5 linked regions of the Canis lupus familiaris genome follow. The protein of the gene in region 3 interacts with the protein of the main gene of each other region in a pairwise test. Links are inferred from orthologs where the notes say so. Each region holds a gene or a part of one and is shown on either strand. Other genes may lie near its edges. The genes, in order: ERH, LDOC1, TASOR2, CARD9 and NEK6.

Evidence for each region.
Region 1: the proteins of TASOR2 (region 3) and ERH interact in binary tests that used the Homo sapiens proteins (3 or more experiments, as listed by UniProt). The two-hybrid records come from large-scale screens. The link is inferred for Canis lupus familiaris from reciprocal best matches to the Homo sapiens genes TASOR2 and ERH.
Region 2: the proteins of TASOR2 (region 3) and LDOC1 interact in binary tests that used the Homo sapiens proteins (3 or more experiments, as listed by UniProt). The two-hybrid records come from large-scale screens. The link is inferred for Canis lupus familiaris from reciprocal best matches to the Homo sapiens genes TASOR2 and LDOC1.
Region 4: the proteins of TASOR2 (region 3) and CARD9 interact in binary tests that used the Homo sapiens proteins (3 or more experiments, as listed by UniProt). The two-hybrid records come from large-scale screens. The link is inferred for Canis lupus familiaris from reciprocal best matches to the Homo sapiens genes TASOR2 and CARD9.
Region 5: the proteins of TASOR2 (region 3) and NEK6 interact in binary tests that used the Homo sapiens proteins (3 or more experiments, as listed by UniProt). The link is inferred for Canis lupus familiaris from reciprocal best matches to the Homo sapiens genes TASOR2 and NEK6.

The regions. Positions count from the first base shown.
Region 1 is NC_049229.1:43,500,701-43,505,652, reverse strand, and holds the start of ERH (enhancer of rudimentary homolog), read left to right. Parts: upstream 1-2,015; 5' UTR 2,016-2,030; coding exon 2,031-2,189; intron 2,190-4,765; coding exon 4,766-4,853; intron 4,854-4,952. Other genes in the region: SLC39A9 (zinc transporter ZIP9), read right to left, coding at 934-1,029. UniProt on the Homo sapiens protein: May have a role in the cell cycle.
Region 2 is NC_049260.1:112,048,624-112,052,698, reverse strand, and holds LDOC1 (protein LDOC1), read right to left. Parts: upstream 2,447-4,075; 5' UTR 2,300-2,446; coding exon 1,856-2,299; 3' UTR 1,032-1,855; downstream 1-1,031. UniProt on the Homo sapiens protein: May have an important role in the development and/or progression of some cancers.
Region 3 is NC_049223.1:29,220,488-29,224,692, reverse strand, and holds part of TASOR2 (protein TASOR 2), read left to right. Parts: intron 1-1,091; coding exon 1,092-1,971; intron 1,972-3,447; coding exon 3,448-3,877; intron 3,878-4,205.
Region 4 is NC_049230.1:49,108,489-49,113,186, reverse strand, and holds the start of CARD9 (caspase recruitment domain-containing protein 9), read right to left. Parts: upstream 3,018-4,698; 5' UTR 1,558-3,017; intron 323-1,557; 5' UTR 322-322; coding exon 84-321; intron 1-83. UniProt on the Homo sapiens protein: Adapter protein that plays a key role in innate immune response against fungi by forming signaling complexes downstream of C-type lectin receptors.
Region 5 is NC_049230.1:58,758,868-58,763,560, reverse strand, and holds the start of NEK6 (serine/threonine-protein kinase Nek6), read left to right. Parts: upstream 1-1,672; 5' UTR 1,673-1,783; intron 1,784-4,497; exon of another isoform or gene 4,498-4,693. UniProt on the Homo sapiens protein: Protein kinase which plays an important role in mitotic cell cycle progression. Required for chromosome segregation at metaphase-anaphase transition, robust mitotic spindle formation and cytokinesis.

The sequences.
Region 1 (4,952 bases), on a different chromosome or scaffold from region 3:
ATGTGAGTTAAGAACAATCTGATTTAGGGATGCCTGGGTGGTTCAGTGGTTGAGCGTCTGTCTGCCTTTGGCTCAGGTCCTGATCACAGGGTCCTGTGATCAAGTCTTGCAGGGGGCTCCCCACAGGGAGCCTGCTTCTCCCTCTGCCTGTGTCTTCGCCTCTCTCTGTGTCTCTCTCATGAATATATAAATAAAATCTTTTTAAAAATCTATTTTTCTCATCTTCATTCTAACACAAAAAAATTCAAAACGCCGGAAAACTTTTGGATTCTAATCCAAAAGACTACCTTCCCCCCCACAAAAACTATGCTTTATTTTCTCCAAATGAGGAGTAATACTGATTTCTACGTATATGGACAAATAATAGTCTCCATTTACATTTCTTGAGAGCAACTGGAACCTTGATTCCTTGGAATCCCTGGGAATCAAAAGAACGTTATGGTGCTTCTTTCCAGGAAAATACACAGAGCCCTAAATTTTTGTATGCAATTTCACAAGATTCAGAGTACCCCAGGATCTCCAGGGGGTCTGCCCACCCCACGTTAAGGACTCCGATGCTTAAAATAAGGTTCCTTTCTATTATGAAATTCTATGTATCTTTTTTATTTTTTTAAAGATTTTATTTATTTATTCATGAGAGACACACAGAGAGAGAGAGGCAGAGACACAGGCAGAGGGAGAAGCAGGCTCCATGCAAGGCGCCCCATGCAGGACTCGATCCCGGGGCCCCAGGATCCTGCCCTGGGCCAAAGGCAGGTGCTAAACCGCTGAGCCACCCGGGGATCCCCTCTATGTATCTTGTTAGAAGACAGTCTTTCTTAGTAAGACCTTTAGCTCTGAGATACGTTGGGGAAGCAGCTTCCCTTTCTTTACAACTTTCCCTACTTCCTACCAGCCATCCTGAAAGCTGACAGAAAATTGAGAATTTCTTACCTCAGAGAAATTAACAGCCAAGGGAACGATTCCAGCCACGTAACATCCCACCAACATAGCCAGAGAGAGCAGACTAATGGAGATGAAATCATCCATTCTGTCCTCCTTTATTTGCCCACCGCCACCAGAACTGCAAATTTTCAGGGGCCTCAAAGGGTCCTTAGGTTCTTAAACGCGTATAGTGATTCCAACAGAACAAGGGGACTTTCCAGGTCGTCCGTCCTCCCCACTAGATGTGTTCAGAAACCCCTTTCTCTGGAACGCGCCTGGAACTAGCCCCTTTTTGCTGATATTAGCACCAGAGAGAACTTTCATCAATCTCAGGTCCCGGCCCCTGCGTTTTCAGATGCCAGTCACTGGATTCCCTGGGGTTTACGGTTAAAGGTATGCAAAAGAGCGATTTCTTCAATCGTCGGAGGGGTGGCACAATGGGCCCACTTCCTCCACGGACAACGTCCCAGATGGCAGCAAGAAAAAGGAAAACTCGAGCAGACTTGTTCGTTCTCCCGGCGCCCCTACGTCCCCGGGGCAGTCTTCCCCCAGGCTGGGACCAGCCCACCAGTCCCGGCAAACTCTCCTCCGAGTCTAGAACGGGCAAAGAGTCCCGCAGGTCTCTAACGATGGGCTTAGGGGTTCAGCAGGGAAGCTGATACAAAGCTGTCTCTGCCCTATACCCGGTGCTGCCCATATTACTCCACTCCGCTGGGCCTCGACCCGGAGCCACCGATACTACAGCTGCCATGGCCGCCAAGTGGCACCTCTTCATTACATCCACTTCCGGATTGCTTCACCGCCCCCTCCTTTAGAAGAGTACTTCCGGGTTACAACCGACCTATGGCCCGGGATTCTTAGGCTACCGCCATTTTTGAGTAGGGCTAATTAAAGAGGTCTGGTGTCAGAGTCCATATATATCTGTGTTCACTCTAGTCGTGCGTCTAATGGCGAGAATATGGAAGACCGTGTCTCGAGAAGAAACGATTTTTTTTTTTGAGAAGAAACGATTATTTTTCCAGTTCTGGAGCAATTACCTGTATCTAGCTCCTCGCCCTTATCCAAGATGGCTGAGCCAGAGTCGGTATCCGCTCTAGCTGCCGGAAATGTGTTCGCTTCTATGGTCCAAAAGGCTCTTTCGCGGTGCGTTTCTGACGACTTCCGGCGGCTCCTCTCGCGGGGATTGGCTGTTGGCGGCGTTGCGGCTAAGCTCGTGTGCGGCGGCGGTGTCGGCAGCGGCTGCGGCGAGAGAGTTTGGCGCGATGGTGAGAAAGGCCTCGGCGGCTCCCCGATCCCCCGGCCTCTGAGGCGATCCCAGCCGTGTACATCTTGTCCCCAGCCCATCCAGCGCGAGAGTGCAGCTCCCCGGCCCGCCAGCTTGTGGCGCGACCTCTCCCCTTCCCGCCGCGGGGCCGCGGGGCCGCTGGGCCTGGCGCTAGGCCCCGGAGCCCGGGTCCGCCCGGGTCCGCCCGGGTCCGCCCAGGTCCGCCCTGCGTTTGCGCGCCCGCGGCCGAGGTCCGGCGAGGCGTGCGGTGCGGAGGATGCGCTTCCTCCCGCGAGCTGCGTGGGGATGCTGCGCTTTTCCCCCAGAGTCTGGCCCGATGTGGGAACAATGGCCGAGGGATGTCTGACAAACCTGCGCCTGAAGCTGACAGATGGGGTGTGCTGCGCCCAGCGTGTGGGCCGGGAGGGGTCGTCTTTGCTTTGTAGCGTGCTTTCTCAGGCATCCCCTTTTGTTTTGCTGGGCTCCGTCCTCAAACAGACATACAACGTTTCTTTCCCCTCTTTTCCGAGACCCCAGAGGCCTGATCTGGCGTTTCTCCCGGCCCTCAATCCTGTTCTTACTCATTCTCTCTGGGACTCAAAGCTGAAAAGAAGATGGGCTCAGCTGAGGGTCCAGGTTCCTTAGAATCGGATCGGGGTGGTAGTGCAGTGAGTGGGTATTTTGTTCGTGTTTTTGTTTTTTTTTTTTTATTTCATTTTTATTTACTATTATTTTTTTTAATTCCGCCAAAAAGAAGGTGATCCACAGGGATTATGAGGAATCGTGGTTCTTCCGCACTTCAACCTCGGTTTTCTGATCGCTGGGGTTAAACGTTAACAGGTTACGCAGCTGTTGTTAACAAGGAACTCTCTGAGGTTGCACCTTTCTGAATTGAGGTGTTTTTAAGTGTTTGACCCAACGTGGTCTCCCAGAGGCGACTGAGCAATCGGAAGGCTGGGTCTCCAGTTCTTTCTTGTTTCGTCATAATTGGCAGTGTGACTTTTGGAAGACTCTGTATCTCTGAGTTTCCCTTCTTTCTCTGCCCTTTATGTCACTCTTTGGTAACGTGTTATAATGGTAAGATTCAAATCTGAGGAAGGGACAGCAGTTAATACCAACGGAGCCTTTCTGGGTGAGCAAATAGCAGTGATAATACCTTCTCAGTCCAAGTGGCTTTAAGAGCTACGAATTTGTAGATAAAGCAAACAATTATTGGTTCAGTCGTCGTATGTACTTCTGCTTTATTAAAGACAAGCTTCAAGGGGTGGGGATTTTTTGTGGGGTTTTTTGGTAGTTTGGCAGAAGCACCTGAAGCTAATGACCTAGTCCTGTGTATTGTAATATTTCTGTAGCAGTAGAAGGATGACTCAGTTCATGTGTAAGAATTTTAAGAGTAGGACCAGATTAACTATTCATTAAAGTGGTTTACATCTGCTTGGTAATCAGAATAAGGATTTTATTAAAGTATATCTGTGTACCTTTTCCTGACTTAGGTTTTGCAACCTTATTTTTCTGTTGTGAGAAGTATATATGTATTTGTTTACGTGTACTTGTATTTTGCATACATATTTGTTTTTTTTAATAAAACCAAACGGCTTTGGAAATAGCTCCAGTAAAAAGAAAGTGACCAAAACTGGTTTGGGAAGCTTTCTGGTCTTAAAATGTTAAAAGCAAAATACTGCCACTTAAAAATAATACCCATTTCAGCTACAGTTTTGTAAATTTAGTCATTTTTTTTCTTCGTTTTTAATCGTTGTCTTTGAGTACTAAGTATTGAAAATAGTGAGCTTTCTCAGAAGTTCACTTTAAGACTAGATGTAAAAAGTAGCGTATTGAATAGCCGTTTGCATATCATTACTTTTTTGAAGTAAATTAGTCCCTTAATTTTCATCAGAATGAGAACAAAATTAAATAGTAGTGACTGATACGACTACTGTGACTCCGTTATTGTGCTAAGGATAGAAAAAGAACATAGATCCACTACTTACAGTCATAAATAGTATTTCTCTTTTTCTCAGCCTACTTCTAAATTTTTATTAAAGCACTTAATAGGGGCACCTGGGTGGCTCAGTAGTTGAATGGCTGCCTTTGACTCAGGTTGTCAAAGTCCCACATCGGGCTCCCCACAGGGAGCCTGCTTCTCCCTCTGCCTATGTCTCTTTCTCTCTGTATGTCTCATGAACGAATAAATTTTTTTTTTTTTAAGGCACTTAATAGGGCTGGAGATAGAAAGTGACCAGTGGAGATAGAAAATCTAAGTGGGTTTATAATCTAGTTGGGAAGAAAGGAAGAAAAAACAGTAGAAGGTAACTCATGCTGAATGCTTAGAGGCAGTAAGTACAACAGTTGCAGAAAGCAGCCCTTAAGGACAGGGAGTCCGAAGAGACCTTACAGAGTTGTTCAGCCATCATCTGACACCACACTTGAACAAAAGCATAAATGTAAGAAGAGCACCCTGATTAATAGTGCATTAATAACCAATGATCATTTGTGTCATGACTAGAGATTTTATATCATACTATGAATTTCTCAAATATGAGTTAGAAACTTAAATTGAAATCCCTTTTCTCCCTGCAGTCTCACACCATTTTGCTGGTACAGCCTACCAAGAGGCCAGAAGGCAGAACTTACGCTGACTATGAATCTGTGAATGAATGCATGGAAGGTGAGTTTAAGCACTAATGAAGAGTTTTTATTTTTGTTTTCTTGATCTTCACTATTAGAATATGTCTCATTTAGGAACTAGGCTTGTTTTTCCTCCAGA
Region 2 (4,075 bases), on a different chromosome or scaffold from region 3:
TGAGGTGACCGGTAGGATGACCAGTATCTCATTTAATCGACAGTGAGGTTTACCGGCACAAATAAAAGAATAACCGGCCTCAGAAGATCTTATGCAATAGGGAAGTTTATTACCTAAACTGGAGATGTTAAGGTAGGGCTGGCTCCAGCTATGGTACAATGAGTACATTTGGGCAGATAGAGATGAGAACTCTGAATCCCTCACATCTTCCTAAATGTTCCCGTGGCAGAGGCAGCTTCCACAAAACCCACTACCGAATTTATCTGATTTCACATTTCAAAGAGTTCTTCTCAGCACCCCCACCCCACTCCCTGAATGCCTCGGAGCCCTCCAGGCCCACAAAGAGGTCTCAGCATAGCCCAGATAGCAGTACAAGGTCTAGTTCAGGAGACAGTCAGTCTCCAATTTCCATAGGCAGGAATCTGGGACATATGTATGGGTGGGGATTCTAAGACAGTGCACCCGGGGTGCTGAAATGTTAAGATCACGCTCTATTTAGTATGGGTTCACTCACACAGGATCCAGGGCTTAATGTCAGTTCAAGCACCTGAAAGGGGCATTAAAACAATATGCTACGTAGTTAACTGAAGTCTGAACTCAACAGCGCCCCGCGGGCAACAAGACTTAAGGGACAGAATTTCTCTGGCAGTGTTGAGTAAGGAATCCAAAGGCTCAAGAAGATAATAACATTGTATGTGTCCAGATTTATGCCTGTTGTCCTAGTCTAATTATTAACAGTGTCCCCCTTTAACTCTCAAGTGTCCCAGTTTGGGATGGTGTGCCACCTGCTCAGCCACCCCTTACCCATGCCACCCTGGAGGCCCCAGAGGACACTCACTCCTTTTGCCAGGGCTTTAAGAAATGCCTTGGTGAGGAGAGTACCAGAATTCCTAGAAAACCCTGTGGTAGTTGTCCTCTGTAGCCTAGAGATGACAGTGGCGAATACTGGGACTGAACTAAGTTCCCTGACCTCAGGGGGCATAACGGGAGTCAGAGTGAGATTGGAAGAGGCCAATGATAGCACTTAACCATTAAAAGACACTCCTTTCTTTATTTTTGTAGTGCTTGATATTTATTGAAAAGAACGTAAATGCTTTTTTCCAGGTGGTATTGAGGAGCTGGGCTGAGTGCCTGTTTTTGTTTGTTTGTTTTGTTTTTAGTATTTCTGTCCAAATGCACACATCTGTTGGGACTGCTGCAGTTTGGAAAGAAAAAGGACAGCTGTGCAAAACTGGTGCATAGGAGAAAAGAAATGTCAACAATTTGGCTGCCAGGCGCACTAGGCCCCTGCAGCAATCTGGTGGGGAAGGGGAGGACCCTGGGAGTAGGCAGGGAACTAACCAGGTTGAAAGACTGGCCCCTTCAGGGGCTGGTGAGCTGTCCAAATCAATGTCCAAGGACATAGAGCCAACTCAGGCATCTTCTAGGTTGGTCCTTATTTTCAAAGGCTGTGTTCTGTCGCTGGAATGTGGTGGACGGTGGTGAAGTGGCAGCGTAGGTCTCTGGGCAGATGGAGGCCTTGCAGTCGGCAGGGCAGGGCTGTGCGTGGTCTGACCAGTTTGTAACAGGGGCCTGCCCTATAGCTGGGGCTCAGGACACAGTCCAAATCAGCAGGGGAGGGCCCCGGGGCTGGCCAGAGTGGGTGGCGGCGCGCTTCCGAGCGAGGCCCCAGCAGCAGGTAACCGGAACAAAGGCAAGCACTACAGGGGGATGACGGAGAGAACCGGAGAGCTGGGGGTAGGGAAGGGGATGGGAGGGCGGAAGGGCGCTGGGCGGCTCCGGGCCGGGCAGGAGAGGCGGGGGAGAGGATGGCGGCGTGCAGGGCCCTCCCCCCTGGGCCCGAGGGTCTCCCGGCCTAGTAATCATCTTCCTCGTCGTCGTCGTCGTCGTCTTCTTCGTCGTCATCCCAGCCAAAACACTGTTTCATCTCATCGAGGAAGGCCCGGTAATCACCTAGGATGGGGCTATCCATCTCAATGTAGGGCACCACCCACTCCTCGGCTTCCCCGGTGAGCAGGCTGATTAGGAATGCCACCTTCATGGCGTCGTTGCAGAATCGGTTCTCGTTGACGAGCATGTAAGACGCCGTCTGCACGATAAACTCGGGGAGCCGGGAGCTCTCGCCGCTAAACGTTTCGGGGAAGGGCACCGGGCAGCTCGGCGGACGTACCTGGCGCAGCAGGGTGGCCCTCTCGCACACCAGCAGCCGCAGCTGTTCCATGAGCTGGCTGTTCTCGATGCTCAGGGCGCGGTGCCGCATCAGGAGCGCGTGCAGCAGCAGCACCAGCTCGTCCACCATGGCGAACGGCTTGCAAGCGCAGGGCTGGGCTCGGCTCAGGTGCGCACGGAGGCCTCGCAGGAAGTGCGTGTCCGCCGAGGCGCACGGTGGCCAGGGGCGGAGGGCGGTGCGCGCTGGGGTCCGGCTGCTGCGCAAGCTCCGCCCGCACAGCCACTCGGGCGGCCGGCGCGCCGGCGCGGCCCGGGTCGGGGGGCGTGGTCAGGGCGCTGCCGGCGCCGCGAGGGGGCGGGGCCGGGGCGGGGCCGGCGGGCCGGGGGCGGGGCCGGGGGCTCGGTCCAAGGGAGGGGGCGGGCGGGAGCCGGGGGCCCGCGGCCGGAGTTCCCGAGGCCGGCGCCCGGGAAGGGCAGGCTCCCGCGCTAGAGCCCCGGATGTGCGCCCCGGGACCGCCAAAAGCCAGCTCAGAGAGGGCCAACCTGCTCAACTTTAAAGGATCGGTCACGCTCGGACTCAGCCGACTCACACAGTGCGGGGCTCCTTGGTGGGTCTGTGGCTACGAGATTCCACCTGCGCGTTTCGGTGACACACGTCCTCGCTTATTGAAATCCCACTCACCCAGGGAACTGCTGGCGCTGCGGCCTGCCCCGCGGGAGCCACGCATCCTTTCGGAGTTGCGAAAGACCCTTCCTTGGGGCTCCTCTTTGAAAACAAAACAATATCTAAATGGGGTTTTTTTTTCTTTAGTTGGGAAACAATATTGTATACCTACATCCTTTTTTAAAAAGTATTTTTTTCTAAACAGTCAAGTATAAAAACTTCTGCAAAAGCACCACTGGAGAACGATTTGCAGGCTCTCGCCTCTCTTTGACCCTCTGTTTCATGTCCTGTTAATGCCCCTTGGCCCTCGGTCGCATGTTGTTTGTTGCTTAACAATGAACACTTGTGTTTTTAAATGCTTTGGGCTTTCTACTTTGAACTGGATTATTTAAATCGTTGAGTCCAGGACCCTAGAGCTGAAATTTTGTTGGCTCTGCTTTTAAAATATATCCCCAGATCAGTCACTTCTCCCACTATACCACCCTGATCCAGCCTTCCTTATCCCACCCAGACTGCTGCAACTGCTTAGCTTTCACTCTTCTCTTCCTGCAGTACACACAGGAGTCCCTCCTGATCCACGGTTTTGCTCTCCGGTGCTTTCAGTCACCCGTGCCAAGGGTGGTTTGATCCGGAATCAGCTGACCCTCCTTCTGACCTGGCACCAGAAGATCAACCAGTAGCCTGGCGTCGGATCACTACGCATTCTATCATCTCACGTCATCACAAGAAGGGTGAGTACAGGACAGTAAGATACTTTAAGAGATATTTTGAAACTTGCATAATAGTTATGTGTTACAAACATTCTATTTTATCACATGAGCTAGTAATGTCTTAGTGTGCCTAACTTATTTAAATTGTATCAAGTACGTATAGGAAAAAATATAGTCTATATATAATTCAAGACTATCCTCAGTTTCAGGCATCTGCTGGGGATCTTGGAACAGATTCCCCTGTGGATATGGCCAGGGAACGAGTGACTCATGTCTCAGGGCAGTGGCTCATATTTCTCAGTGCCCACTCTCTCCAGAGAGTAGGCACAGGAATCCTTTTGAACAAAAGTGAGAACTTTTTACTCCCCTGCTCAAAATCATCCCAACAGTTTTCCACTCTCACTTGAAATAAAAATAAAATAAAAATAAAAATAAAAGCAAAGTCTTGGCTGTGGCCTGCAAAGCCCTGCCTCATCTCCTGTGCCTATTCCCATTTCCTGTTCTGCTCTAATCACAGTATTCTTCTTGCTTA
Region 3 (4,205 bases):
ATCATCAGATCACAAAATGGATTTTGTGCTTCCAGCAGATCCATGGGGCTGATGAGGTGATTCTCTGCTTTGGGTCCCTTCCTTCCATCTACTCCTCTTGGGGTTGCTCTTTTAAATAAAAAGTAAACAGTGGTTGATTACTTTTATCATTCCCACCACACACACACACAGACACACACACTCTGATGACTCTCGCAGACCAGGGTTTTCTCTTTAAATGGATTAATCATTGGCCTTTGCAGGCAGGTTAATAATTCATTTCAGACCTGCTGCTGCTGTTACAAAGAAAAACACAGTTGGCTTTTCTGTCCATGCACCTGCTGTGGGGAATCGTTGCCTAGTATTCTTGCGAACTCTGTCCTTCATAATAGCCCCCTCTCAGGAGACTGAACTAACATCCTGGGAATGCAAGTAGGCTGCTGTCGAGGGTCAGCTTTCTGCTGTTTGCAGACAGAGTAGAGAGGAAATGTTTTCAGTACAGAATTTAAAGTTTTAGAAGGTGATGAAATTGGTGATTCTAAATGAATAATCCTATGACTTCTGATTTTTTATTTGTATCGTTACATATTCTAATGAAATACCAATATGGTTAAGAGTTGTCTGTAGCTTGAACTTAGGTGATTTCTCTAACAGAGCACTTAAGGGATGTGCTTTGTAAAAGTGTGTTAACATAATATAATATACACTTCAAACTTAGAAATCCTTCTATTCGCACTAGATTGTAAGCTCTATGAGGGCAGGAGTCCGGGTCTTTTTTTTTTTTTTTTTCCTCTTTGTTTCTTTAGCTGAGCAGTATACTTTGTGTATAGTTACATACATGCATTTTTGAAAGATGATTTCTTTTTAAATCAATATGCATGCTCTTTAAGATTTGTTCCTGTGGTATAAATACATTATATTAGAACTGGCAGTTGGAAGAAACCTATCTGATAGGAATATTTCAACATATAATCTGTGTAACCTGTCCAGAGGTTCTTCTTGAATATAGTGACTTAACCATTAATTTTCAATAAGCCATAGTGTACTATAGCAGAGAATTAAAATATACGGAAATCAAATGTTACATGTCCTCCTTTTCTTTTATACTGAAGCAAAAGGAGAAACTGGTTCACAACTGCCATCAGAAATCTCATCAGTTGGACAAGAAGATGTTACTAGCATAAATGCCACTCAGACGGAAGGAATCTCAGTGGCTCAAAAAGACCTCCCTGAAAACTCTATTGTTAACTGTGACTCCCAAGCCCTAAATATGCTAGCTGACCTAGCCTTAAGTGCTGCTACTTCTACCACGCCGTCATCGGAGCCCAGGAACTTTCCCTGCTCCTCTGAATCACCACAGAATGATGTTCTGCTTTCTAAAGAACATTCTGTGCGTGGTACGTCTGACCATGAATATCACAGAGGTGTTAAGAATCAAAAAGGTGGACTGTTAACTAAGCCTTCCTCTGAGAAAAAGAGTAATCCAACATTGGATTCCACCATCAGCCAAATGGAAGAGACTTGGGTTCCTGGTGATCCGCCCCCTATGGAAGCCCCATCAGCACTTCCTGAGGAAACCCTAGAGACTAGTGATGCAAGCCAAAGCTCTTTTGTTGCTGTGGAACATTCCTACGCCCTGCTCCTTGCAGAACATTCAAAGAAGCATCTACAGCAGAGGGGAATCACAGGCCCTGCCTTCGCCAAGAATGGCACAAAAGGCCCTGAAGCAGGGACCCCGGTGGGAAAGGTAATGCCATTCCGGCACCAGCACAGCACCTCCCCTCTGCAGAAGCTGTCTGAGGACCCGGGGTGCAGGCGCAAGGGTAGTTTGCTGTCCTCCAGCCTGAAAGATTCTTACTGCTCTCATACTGTTTATAGCTGTGATGGCTCCTTTAAGGTCACTTTCAAATGTGACTCAGAATATGCATTCAGCTTAGACAGCAAATACACCAACAACCCCCTGGAGAAAACCATAATAAGAGCACTACATGGGTAAGTAAGAGTGATGCTCAAGGTAGATGGATGTGACTTTTGTGCTGATAAATGTGGTGGGAAGGAGTATTTGCACTAGACTTTGGGGAAAGAGAAGTACTGTGTGTGAATCCAGTAACTTAGTGATATTATCAAGCAGTCATGTTTACTGACAACTAAGAAAATGAGGCTGGTTTTGCCACTGTTGGTGGTCCCACAGAGACCTTTTGCAGGCTGACTTTAGCCTAGTGAACAGCTTTCTATTTTGAGATACTCCTATGAAAGCCTTTATGGTCTTTGAATTATAATATTTAAATGAGATCTTAATAGTGCAGATTTTAACTCAGGTCTCTTTGAGACAGGCCCTGAGAGTGTACATTTCTAACAAGTTTCCAAGTGATGCCAATGGAGGATGACAGTCTGTAGGCAATGCTTTTTAGATTTGATTTACTCATGAGATTCAGAGGCAGAGATACAGAGGGAGAAGCAGGTTACCCACAGGGAGTCCGATACAGGACTCGATCTCAGGACCCCAGGATCACAACTTGAGCTGAAGGCCGACGCTCAGCCACTGAACCATCCAGGTCCCCTGGCCAGTGCTTTTAAGTATGAGTTTAGTAATAGCTACAAGTCAGGGTGTTGTGTATGTGAGGGTTTTGCACAGTGACTGGCACAAACTGGTAAGCAGTAGCCGTTATTATTTGCAAGGAGCACTAGCTATGTGAAAAGGCACTCAGCTGCCTCTTCACGGAGTGTCTTACCTAGGAGCAACTAAACTGTATTAGACTTCTTCCCATGCTCTGGTCACAAGCTCAGGCCCATAGGAGTGTACACTAAGTGTTCCCATCTACTCAAGAGGGTCATGTCCTGAGCCTTAATCCTGCCTGGCTGTATGGTTTCAGGAGATTTTTCAGGACTGTAATCTGAATTAAGGTATTTTAACCTTAAGACTTTCCCAACTATTAGAAGAGAAACACACACACAAAAAAAAGAAACACAAAAATGGAAAAGAAATGAGTTGGCCAAACCTGGCAAATATGAGGATTTGGGTGTTTGCTGGAGCCATTATTCACATAATAGGCATATTGTGTCCAGAGAGAGTTAGAGTAATAGAAAAATCCTAGCCCAGGAGGCCAGAGACCTCTGTTGCAGTCTTGGTTCTGCTGCGTCAGGGGTCTACGATCTGAAGGAAGTCACTTTTCAAAGCTCTTGAGTTTCAGTTCCCTTTCTTGCCTCTATAAAATGAGTGGATTAGATTCATTGTAATTACTTTTTTTGTTGTTTTTTTGGTTTTTTTTTTTTTTTTGTAATTCCTTGTTAAATGAACTTCATTTTTATCTTATTCATCATTTCATGTTCATGTATTTTTACTATAAAAATGAACACATTTAAAAAAAAATGAACACATTTAAAACTAAGATTAAAATGCAGGCACTTAATCAACTAAAATCACCATTTTCAGGATTTTTTTTGCATGTTTTTTCTTTAAAATCTCAGGCCCTGGAACACTGACTTACCTGATAACGTGGAAGAAGTGAAGCTTTTGCTTCATATGTGGGTAGCTCTGTTTTACAGCAATCAGAACAAAGTCATACGGTCATCCCGAAAAGTGGTAGAACACAGCAACCCAGCAAAATATGTGTCTATAAATAGCACATTAGAATCATTAGAATTCAGTGAAATCGAGGAGTCCTCCAATGTGGAAAGATGTCCTGTGGACCCTCTGTTGGAGACCAACGAAACTCCCAGAGGTCACGCTGCCGAGGTGTCCTTCCCTGACACCAACTCCTTGCTTCCCTTCCTTAAACCTCCACCCACAAGAGGCTTGGAACTCTGGGTACAGAAGGAACGGAAAGACATTTTTCCAAGAGAGGGTCATCCAGATACCCCAGAAAGCCAGAATTTCATTTATTCTTGTAAAAATGAGGTAAGTAAAGCTGAGTATATGCTGACATTTGTGAAGATTTTTTTTTTCTAGATATGTAAAATCACATTCAAAACATATCATTGGTTTGTTTTAGGAAGGTGGATTCCCTGTCTATGTAAAGGACTAATAATACCAAAAACTGTTTCCGTAAGTGTCACTGTGGATTGTCTGCAGGTGGAGCTTTTCTCCATCCCTGATTGAAGTAGTAGTAGTAGAAAGAGAAGGTGGGTGTCAGATGGGTCTGAGAGCCAACCATAATGGTGTCACTTACTGTATAATTTGGGGCAAATTACTTGTTCTCTCTGAGCATACTCTCTTCTAAAAGAGG
Region 4 (4,698 bases), on a different chromosome or scaffold from region 3:
GCTCCCAGCAGACAGGACAGGGTGTGGGGTGCTGGGGAGCGCCCATTCCTGTGCTCAAAGCTCCCGGCTGAGGCAGCACTGACCCACTTTCCGCTTGCGGATGACCAGGTTGGGGTCACTGAGCACCTGCTCCTCATCATCGGGGTTCAGCACCTTGCATTGCCTCAGGTAGGGCGTGATGCGCGAGGGGTCGATGACGGAGATGAGCTTCACTCGGAAGCTCTCCAGGGTACTCCAGCACTGGTCTTCGTTCTCATAGTCTGACATGGTGGCGGCCACCGCTGCGATTGGTGGGAGAGCAGCTGGCAGGGACAGTTGCATGCTGGGCCCAGGGGAGTCCAGGACAGGTAGGTGTGAAGCCTCACCCGCCCTGGCCCTCCCTCCTCTGCGCTGGTGCTCTGACCGGGGCACCAGCTCAGCCAGGGCAGCCCTCCCGGCCTTCTCTAGACCCTGCAGCCACTCCCTCAGCAGGTGACCTAGGCTTTCTCTGTCCAAGTCACCCTGATAAGTGTGAGGGAAGATGTGGAGGCGCTTCAGGGACTGGCGGCATCTGAGAATACCCCCCCCCCCACTGTGGCCTTGTTCTGGCCTCTGCACCCCCATCCCTAAAGCGTGAGTCTGGCAGACCACCACCTCGTACCCACTGGCAGGGCCTCCCTGGCAGGTACAGGGAGGTAGGCGCCCAGGCTGGGGAGGCACGCCTGGGGCATTGACCTGCCCACGTACACGCCAGCCTGTGCTGCTGTAGGACTTCCTCCTTCTTGGACATGGCTCCTGCTCAGGGCCTAGCCCCACCGCCTCCTCTCTTTCCGGCGGCTGGCTGGTGGTGCAACAGTGGCCCAGGCACCGGCTGGCTCAGGAAGGGCAGCTGTGGACCGCTGCACCAGGAGGGGCCCAGCTGCATTGGCATGGCCAGCACCCACGCCGCTCCTGTGCCCTCTGCAGACTCCTAGGGACCAGGCACCAGCCACCTCTGGGCTCCTCTCCCTGTTCCTGGGCACGCAGGGTGCCAGCTCCCTGACCAGGGCCATCCGTGTTGGGACTACCCACTGCTGCTCCCTTCCACTGGCGGGCACAGACCACGCTCGAGGCCTGGGCCAAACCAGGAGCCTCCTCCCAGTGGTGGGGACAGAGACCCTGACTTGCCACCTCAGACTGCCCTCAGCCAGCGTAGGAACTGTGGGCGGAGGTTTGCCACCCAGAGGAGCTAGGCCATACTCCCAGAGACAGACGGCAGCAGGCAGGGCCTCTGGAGGAGCTTCCTGAACTTCCTGCAGCCCTTGGCCACACCATCCAGCCAGAGAGACACCAGCAACTCAGTGGATGGCCCTTGGAACGTTCAGCCCGCTTCCTGCCTTTCCCACCTACATCCACAGGTCCCACACCTGACCCCTGCCTCTAATTCCACCGAGCTGAACAAGCAGGTCTCAGGTGGCTGTGAAGGACAGGGCAGGAGTGGAGGCCCTGGGTGCTCTTCTGGGGTATGTGCCCCAGGAGCCCTGAGCAGAGAGATGGGTGTCTTCCTGGCCACCCTGAGAGGGCAGCCAACCAGCCTACCTCAGGGTCCTCGAGAGGCACCTGTGCAGTGGACACTGGTCAGCCCAGGCTGGCCTGATCCGATGAACAGGAGGTGCTGCTGGCAGCCCAGTGGAGCTCAGGAGGAAAAGCTGTGCACTTCCTGATGGTGCTGCTCAGCTCCACAGAGCCGGGAAGGTCCTCCCAGAGGGAGTGGGTCCTTGGGCCTGCCTTCTGATTCGCCCGCCTGGCAGGGCCCAAGAGGCGGGGCAGAGGGAAGTGGAAGTCCTGCTCAGAGGCCTGGAGGCCCACCCCTGGCATCCACTAAGTGGAAGTGTGAGCAAGGACCCTCCCCGGAGCTGGATGAGGCCAATGCACTGTCTAGTCCGCTCTGGCCTGAACGCAGGCTTCTGGAGGCTTCTCCACCAGGGGCTGGCTGGGAACCTGCAGCGTGGGCCCTCTGCAAAGTGCAGGAGATCCCAGGGCTTCAGGCCTAACTCTGGGATTTCAGCCAGATGCCCACACACACAGTAGGCCAGCCGGGCCTTGATCACATGAGGGCTGGTGTAGCGTCCAGAAGGCATGTGGCTGGAGACCCCACTGTGGCCTGTCCGTGCTTGCCCCACATGGCCACCGGCCCCTGCTACACTGCACACCCTATCCCTTCCTGGGAGTGTCTCCACTTAGCAACCTCTTTACTAGGACACTCGGGACTGTGACAGCAGGCTCCCAGGCCACTCATCATGGCCCCGCAAACCAGTTTCAGAAGGGCTGTTTCTGCCATCAGAGCTGCACCCAATAGCCAGGATAGCAGGCCTCCAGACCAGGGTCTGCCAGGAAACCCCCAGGCCAAGGCCTCACTGGCGCAGCTGGGCCGGTTGGTCCAAGTTGTTGGCTGCCAGGCTGAGGCAATTGCTAGGGAAAGGCCAGGATGGTCCTGAGCAGGGCTCCCAGCCCCACCTTCCCATGGCAGCTGCCTCTTGCCTGACAGGCTCCCCGCCTGTAGGCTCTCGGACCTCTGACCCTGGGTGGATGGAGGCTGCCATCGCGCTTCCAGAACAGCCAGTCCTGGGCCCTCCAGGAGCTATGACCAGCAGTGTTTCCCTGCTCTGCAAAAGCAAATTAATAAAGGGTGTCTCCCCCACGGGGGTGTTGGTAAGAATTCAATGACAGAAATGTTCTGTTCTCTGTATCAAAAGCCAGAAATCAATAACAAAAGGCTAACTGGAGAATCCCTAAACGTTTGAAAATAAAATAAGAGACCTCTAACTAGCCATAGGTCTAAAGGAGCCCCCAAGGAAAGCAGAAACGAGCTGAAAAAGCCCCAGGTGCAAACTGAAAAGCTAAGAGCTTGTGCATGAGGCTGCACGGTGGTGGGTCAGCCCCCTGGTGGGTGGGTACAGCACCCCAGGGCATGCTCACACCTGGAGAGCACAGGCATGAAGCCTCTAGAACCAAGCACCTCAAAAGGCTGCACACCAAAGCCAAGGCTGTGCACCGCGTCCCTCAGAGCACCAAGGGTGCTGGGGCTTGGCCTCCCACCAAGAAGCAGCTGCTCAGGAGGAAGGCAATGCCGGCCTGGGGCCGCTGCGTGACTTGTGGGCAGGCGGGCAGCCGCTGGTTCCAGATGCCTGCCTGGGTCGGCGGTGTGGTCAGGAAGGCAGTGAGGCAGGTCCACCCCATTCCCTGTGGCCCCACCAAGGCAGCAGCTGCCTGGTAGCTCTTGGCAGGCCCTGGGGCTTGAGCCACAAGCGTGTTCTGTGCAAAGGGCACTCCCCACGTCCTACACGGTGGCCCGGAGCTCAGGGGGTTCCTCAGACCTCAGGGCCCAGCCATCCGGGTCCTGGCACGGTCAGGGGAGCCCCAACCCTCTGCCCAGTCTCTTAAGGCAACAAGAATCTGGGGCTTGCCTTTTAATAAAAAAATAAGCCATTCACTTTATTCCTTCAAACATTCCTTCCGATTTGTGCTGGAGGACTAGCCAAGCCCCAGTGGCTTCACGGTCACACGGCGAAGCCTCCCCCAGCCTCCAACTGCTTTAGGCTGCTTCCTCCGGGAGGGTTGGAGCTGGGCTCCACAGGCAGGTGGGCTCACTGGGGTCCAGCATGGCTCCCGCCTCCTGGAACACAGAGATGCCCAGATGGTGGGGACACCCTGACCCCAGCCAGACCCCAGAGATGGTGCTGTAGGATAGGAACCAAAGGTGGCATTAGGCCTCCTCCGAGGGCGCAGAACCGGGTCTGGCTGCCCACCTGCAGTCCATGCAGGGGGCCATGCTGAGGGCAGGCCCTAGAGCCTGGGTGGGCTTCTGATGCCCCCACCCCCACCCCCAGCATCCCCTCTGTGGACCCTCTCAGGGCGCAGCCCCACTACACTCGCAGGAGCTGGCTCCCACCTCTGTAGACCAGACATCTTCCCCCACATGGGATCTCTGCACCATGAACTCAACTAATCCGTACTGAGGGCCTACTTGATGCCTGCTCTCTGGGCACTGAGGACCCGGCAGCAAAAACCAAATCATATCACCGCCCTTAAGGGCTCACGTTTATGGCAGACACGCATGTAAACCATGTCGGGTGTAGAAGAGACAGTGCTAGCAAGACAGACATTGACAGTGGTACTGCCCCAAGAGAACAGGCAGAGAGAGCATCTCTGAACAGCCAAACACTGAGCAGACATGATTGGGATAAGGGAACAAGCCTTACAGACATGGACGAAGGCCAGGCAGAGGGGACAGCAGTGCAAAGGCCCCGAGGCACACGTGGGTCAGCAAGAAGGAAGCACCAGAGCCTGGAGTGTGCAACCCAGTGGGCGAGGGTGTAGCTAGGGGAGAGGGATTACATGGCCCTCCCCACAAACGGCTCCCATAGGCCTGTATAACCCTCCCCATCACACTTGATGTGAGCTCCTAAGGGCGATGATAGTCTGCCCCACATCTGGAAAGCTGTGGGCTCCTGTGTGCCCAGAACAGAGGCACGGGGAAGGCCCATGGTATAGGGGTACCTGCACCCACCCCTGCCCCTGCTTACCCTGCTGCTCACACCAGCCGTTGCCGCTTCCGGGCATGCCAGGCATGCCGGGTTCTGCGCACATCAAGGCTGTCACAACCGTCCAGGCTCTGCCCAGGGTCTGGGGCTCCCTGAAACAAAAGCCAGGAAGAGGGCACAGGAGTGAGTCCCCACT
Region 5 (4,693 bases), on a different chromosome or scaffold from region 3:
CCTGTTTTATTTTCTCCACCAAGCTTATTAATTTCAGCCATGCCGGATATTTGCAATTGCTTCCCCACACACCCCACCCCCAGAATGAAGCACCAGGAGAGCCAGGGCTATATTTTGTTCACGACTGTATCCCAGCGCCTAGAATAGGACCTGACCCATAGCCGGTGCTCGTAGATAAGTGTCAGGTGATTGAATGAGGAAATTAATGTTTACTGCATTGATACGGTCCCTAATCATTGGCCTGCCAGCAACACTGCAACACACTGTCTCAGAACTTCTATTTATTTCTATCACTTTCTGAAACGCTTATTTCTTGGAGTTACCTCTTCAATCTATCTGATATCTGTTGTGATGCGTATCATGTGAAGTGAGACTGTAAGTAGGTCCCCGACCAAACCGCTAACCAACGTGTAGAATGACCTGTTCTGTCCCTGCTGGTTCACGGCAAGGCTGGGACTGGGCTGGGCCGTCTGTGCCAGCTGTCCCCCGTGCCCTCTTATACCAGCAGTCCAGAGCTATGTTGTTTATGAGGTGGGACTGCCGAGACTGGGCACTGGAGTTAGTCTGTGCTGTGGTCTAGCTCCCTGCTCAACCCTTACCAACTGGGTGACTTTGAGCAAGAGAACTGGGCTCTCTCAGCTTCTGTTCTAAACCTCATTTATCTTATCTGTAAAACGGGCATGAAAGTGGCATAACGCCTCCTTCGCAGAATGGCTGTGCGGTTGTGAGTATGACACCTGGCGGGGGTCCTACGGGTGTCGTTACTGTCACAGGTCGCAGCCAGGTGGAGCGCCGGGGGGTCCTCTGCGGGCTCGGCACGGTGCTGTCACTAAGCTGGACAGCCGGCAGGTGGTCAGTGTCAGTTCCTGGTTCCAGGCGTCCTGGGGGGACACCGCACGGTCCTGCCTGTGGAGGAGCAGCGGCCGATGCAGGAGGCGGGAGCTGAGCGAGCCGGCCCGGAGCCCTTCTTGGGGGAAGGGGGCGCGCAGGTTCCCTTAGGAGGCCAGCTGCAGCCTTCGGGGCCCCATGGAGACTCTGTCTCCTTAGAGAGGGTGTTACCCACTCAGTAGGGCCTTCTCCCGGAAACCTTTGCACCTCGACTCTCCCTATCTCGGGGTTCACAGGCATTGGGGAGCTCCATATAAGGAGACGCTGGCGCTTTGAGGGCAGGGGGCAGCACCTTCAGCAGGCGGAGATGCCCTTGGAGCTTCCTCCTAAACGTGCGCCGCATCCAGTAGGCGCGCAATAAGAGCTGATTGGCTACCCAGGGTGCGCAGGGCCGTGGAGGGGGCCGCGTCGGGGGGTACCCAGGGATGCGGGGGCGGGTCCCCGGTTCGCTGAGTGCGGACCCCAGCCCTGAGCGTCTAGAGCCCGGGGACTAGGGGTGAAGGGGGGTCTGCTGGCGCCGACTCGCCGGCAGGGTCTGGGCCTCAGTCTCCCCATCTTTGGAACGGGGAGGGGGCGCCTGGGCTGCGCGGACGTCTCGCGGCCCCGGGGGCTCCGGGCGCCTTGCGGTCTCCCCGGGGCGCCCACGGGCCAGCGTGGCGGCCGCGCGGGAGCGAGCGCAGGGGGCGGCGCGGGCCCGCGGCGGGGAGGGGCGGGAGCGCGCGGGCCCGCGGCGGGGAGGGGCGGGAGCGCGCGGGCCCGCGCAGGCGGCGGCGGAACCGGGCGGACGGGCGTGCGGCCGCGAGTGTGGGACCCTCCGCTCCGCCCCGCTCCGCCCCGCTCCGCTCCGGCCGCCCGCGCGCCGCTCCTCCGAGGCAGCCGAGCCGCCCGCGCGCCGGTGAGTGGCCTGGGGCCGGGCCGGGCCGGGCGGAACCGGGCCGGGCGGGGGCGGGGGCGCGCGCGTCGCGGGGGCCCGGCCGGTGGCGTGCGGGGCCGCGGGCGGGCTGGGGCGCGGCGGGGCTCCCGCGGGGCCGAGCGCTCGCGGGGCCCGTGCCGTGGGGATGGGGAGCCGTGCTCCAGGCTCCGGGCGTGCGTGTGTGCACGTGCGCGAGTGCTCACGAGTGACTTCTGGGCGCGTTTGGGAGCCTTTGAGGACAAAAGTGTACGTGTCCGTGCACGCGAACATGCACCCTGCGTCCGGGAGGGTGTGAATGCGTTTCTCACGCACGCGGGCGGGCACCTCCTTGCACCCACCAGGCGGCTCCCTCCCGGGTGCCAGGGAGCCCGCGGAGGGAACTAGGCCCGGGGTGGGCTCCCGGCGGGTGCGGGGCCTCGCGCGCCGAAGGGGGGCGGAGGTCAGACCCGCAGAGCCAGGCTGGGCCCCGCAGACGGGGAGGCCTCCTTGCCGGGCCTCGGTGGGGCCCCAGGATGCTCAGGCTGGGCTGCGGCTCTGCTGCGGCGGGCAGGGCTCCTCGGCCTGCTGCTAGAGGACGCGGCCTCAGTTCTTCCTGAACACCCCCCTCTGGGTCCCTTGGCTCCTCTTCTTCCGGTCTCTGGCCCGGGCAGATTTTCATCTTTCCCGCGGGCCTTGGGGGGTGGGGATGGGGGACGGTGACCCTGGGAAGGCCAGGGGTGCCAGGACACTTGTCTGTGTATCTGAGGGTCTCTCGCCCTGTCTCTGCCTGCTCTGTCGACTAGATGCGTATTCATCTGACTTATTTACTTGTTGAGCCTGGGCTCCAAGCATGAGCCCCCAAGACAGTAACAAATTGATCACAGCAGGCTTGGGACACTGATTTCCAAGGTCTGTCTGCGCAGCTTTGACACAGTTTTGGGGGGAGCTTTAGAAATGTTGAAAATCTCTGCAGTCAGAAGGCTTAATTGGGGATCCCTGGGTGGCTCAGCAGTTTGGCGCCTGCCTTTGGCCCAGGGCGCGATCCTGGAGTCCCGGGATCGAGTCCCGCGTCGGGCTCCCGGTGCATGGAGCCTGCTTCTCCCTCTGCCTGTGTCTCTGCCTCTCTCTCTCTGTGTCTCTCATATAAATAAATAAGTAAACAAACAAATAAACAAATCTTAAAAAAAAGTCTCGATTGCTTTAAGGGCAACTTCAGAAACACTGAACTCCCTCGTCCCCCTGAATTTTCAAAACTCAGCTAGACTTTCTGAGGAGAAAATGTCGTGCGCAGGCAGATCTTGGAGGCACATTTAAAAATCGTGGTGTTAATGGAAGAAGAATTTCATTGAAAGGGATGCAGAGCGGCTGGAGGCGCCTGTTCCCAACGCAGCAGCTTACTGAGTGAACTTTGGACGTCTTCTTTTAGCAAACAAAACCTGGAAGGAAACAAAAAAGATCCACATTCTTTTTCTTTTTTGTCCTAAAAAGAAATGAAAAAAACAAAACAAAACAAAACCCAACCCACCTTCTGGGTTTGCTGGAAAGGCTGCCTCTTCTTCTCCCCTCAAGGCCAGGCCCTCCCTCCATCCCCCACTCCCCAAATAAAATATGCCTGTGGGGAGCTGTGGATGAGTCACTCCCTGGCAGAGAGCCCCACGGGCAAACATTTGGGAAGGTTCTTGCCTAACTTCCCAGAAGAAAAGGCCCAGGATTTAAAATGGTCCCTGTGGTTTGTCAGCCTCTGCCGTCCTGTCTGCTTCGGAAATGACTAAAAGTAGTTTCTGTCTTCAGAAAATAAAGTCTCAGACTGAAGCAGTGGCCCAGGTTGGTCTGGGCTCTGAGCCATTTCAGATCATTCGGGTTTCAAGAATCGAAGCTCCTGGCTTTGCCAGGTGACGTTTCCAGTGGCTTTGAGCGAGGAGGGGGCAGGGGAAGGGCAGGGGAAGTCATGCTTACGGAGCACCTACTGTGTGCACTTTTAATCCTCCTAGTAGTTGTGGGCGCAGAGACACAGAGACCTGTGTCTCTGTCAACCCTGTGTCTTGGGACTGCTGAGAGGAGGTAGAGGCAGAATCCTGTCACCTCCCTGACTTCCAGTCTGCCCTCCACACCAGGGGCCTGATAACTTGTCTTCTGAAGGTGCACAGGCTGGGTGCTCGGTGCTTTCACACACATCTACTCATTTCATCTTCCCCATGAGGTTGGGGGTTGTCATCTCCATTTTACAGATGACCTAACTGAGGCTCAGAGAGATGGAATACGAGGCATAATTTTATGAAAGTAGCATCACAACTAATGGCCACCATTTGTTGAGGGCATCCCATATGCCAGGCACGAAAGCTGTAAGTACCTAAATTCACCCAGTCCACCCGGCAGCACAGAGACAGAACTATCATGGTGCCCATTTTACAGATGAGAAAACTGGGGACACAGATGAAATCATGTGCCAAAGATCACAGGATGCTGTGCGGTTGAAGTCAGGCTTGTCTGAGCAGAGCCCTCCATCTTTCCATTGGACGTAGAAAGTAAAGGTCACTGTGTTCCAGGTTCTTGCGGGGCCAGGTTCCTCACCAGGCTCTGGGCTTCTGGGAGACGTCTTCCCAGAAGTGCTGCCCTCCTTCCTTGTCTACTCTTGCCCCTCGGCGGTGGATGACCCATGCCTAGGGCCAGGACTGTCAGATAGAAAGGGCTGCAGTTCACATTTTTTTCTGTCCTCATGAAGTGCCAAAGATTGGTTTCAGAAGGGAAGTGTCAAAACAATTGTCAAAAAGAGAAGAATATTCCCTTCCTCTTCTCGGGTCAGACCAAGCAAGGGAGTTAGAGGGTGAAGAGTGGAAGACCCTGGTGAGTCATCCAAGATTAAATGCGGGTTGGCATCTCCAGGCTTCTGTGGGGAGCAAAGAGGCTGGGGCG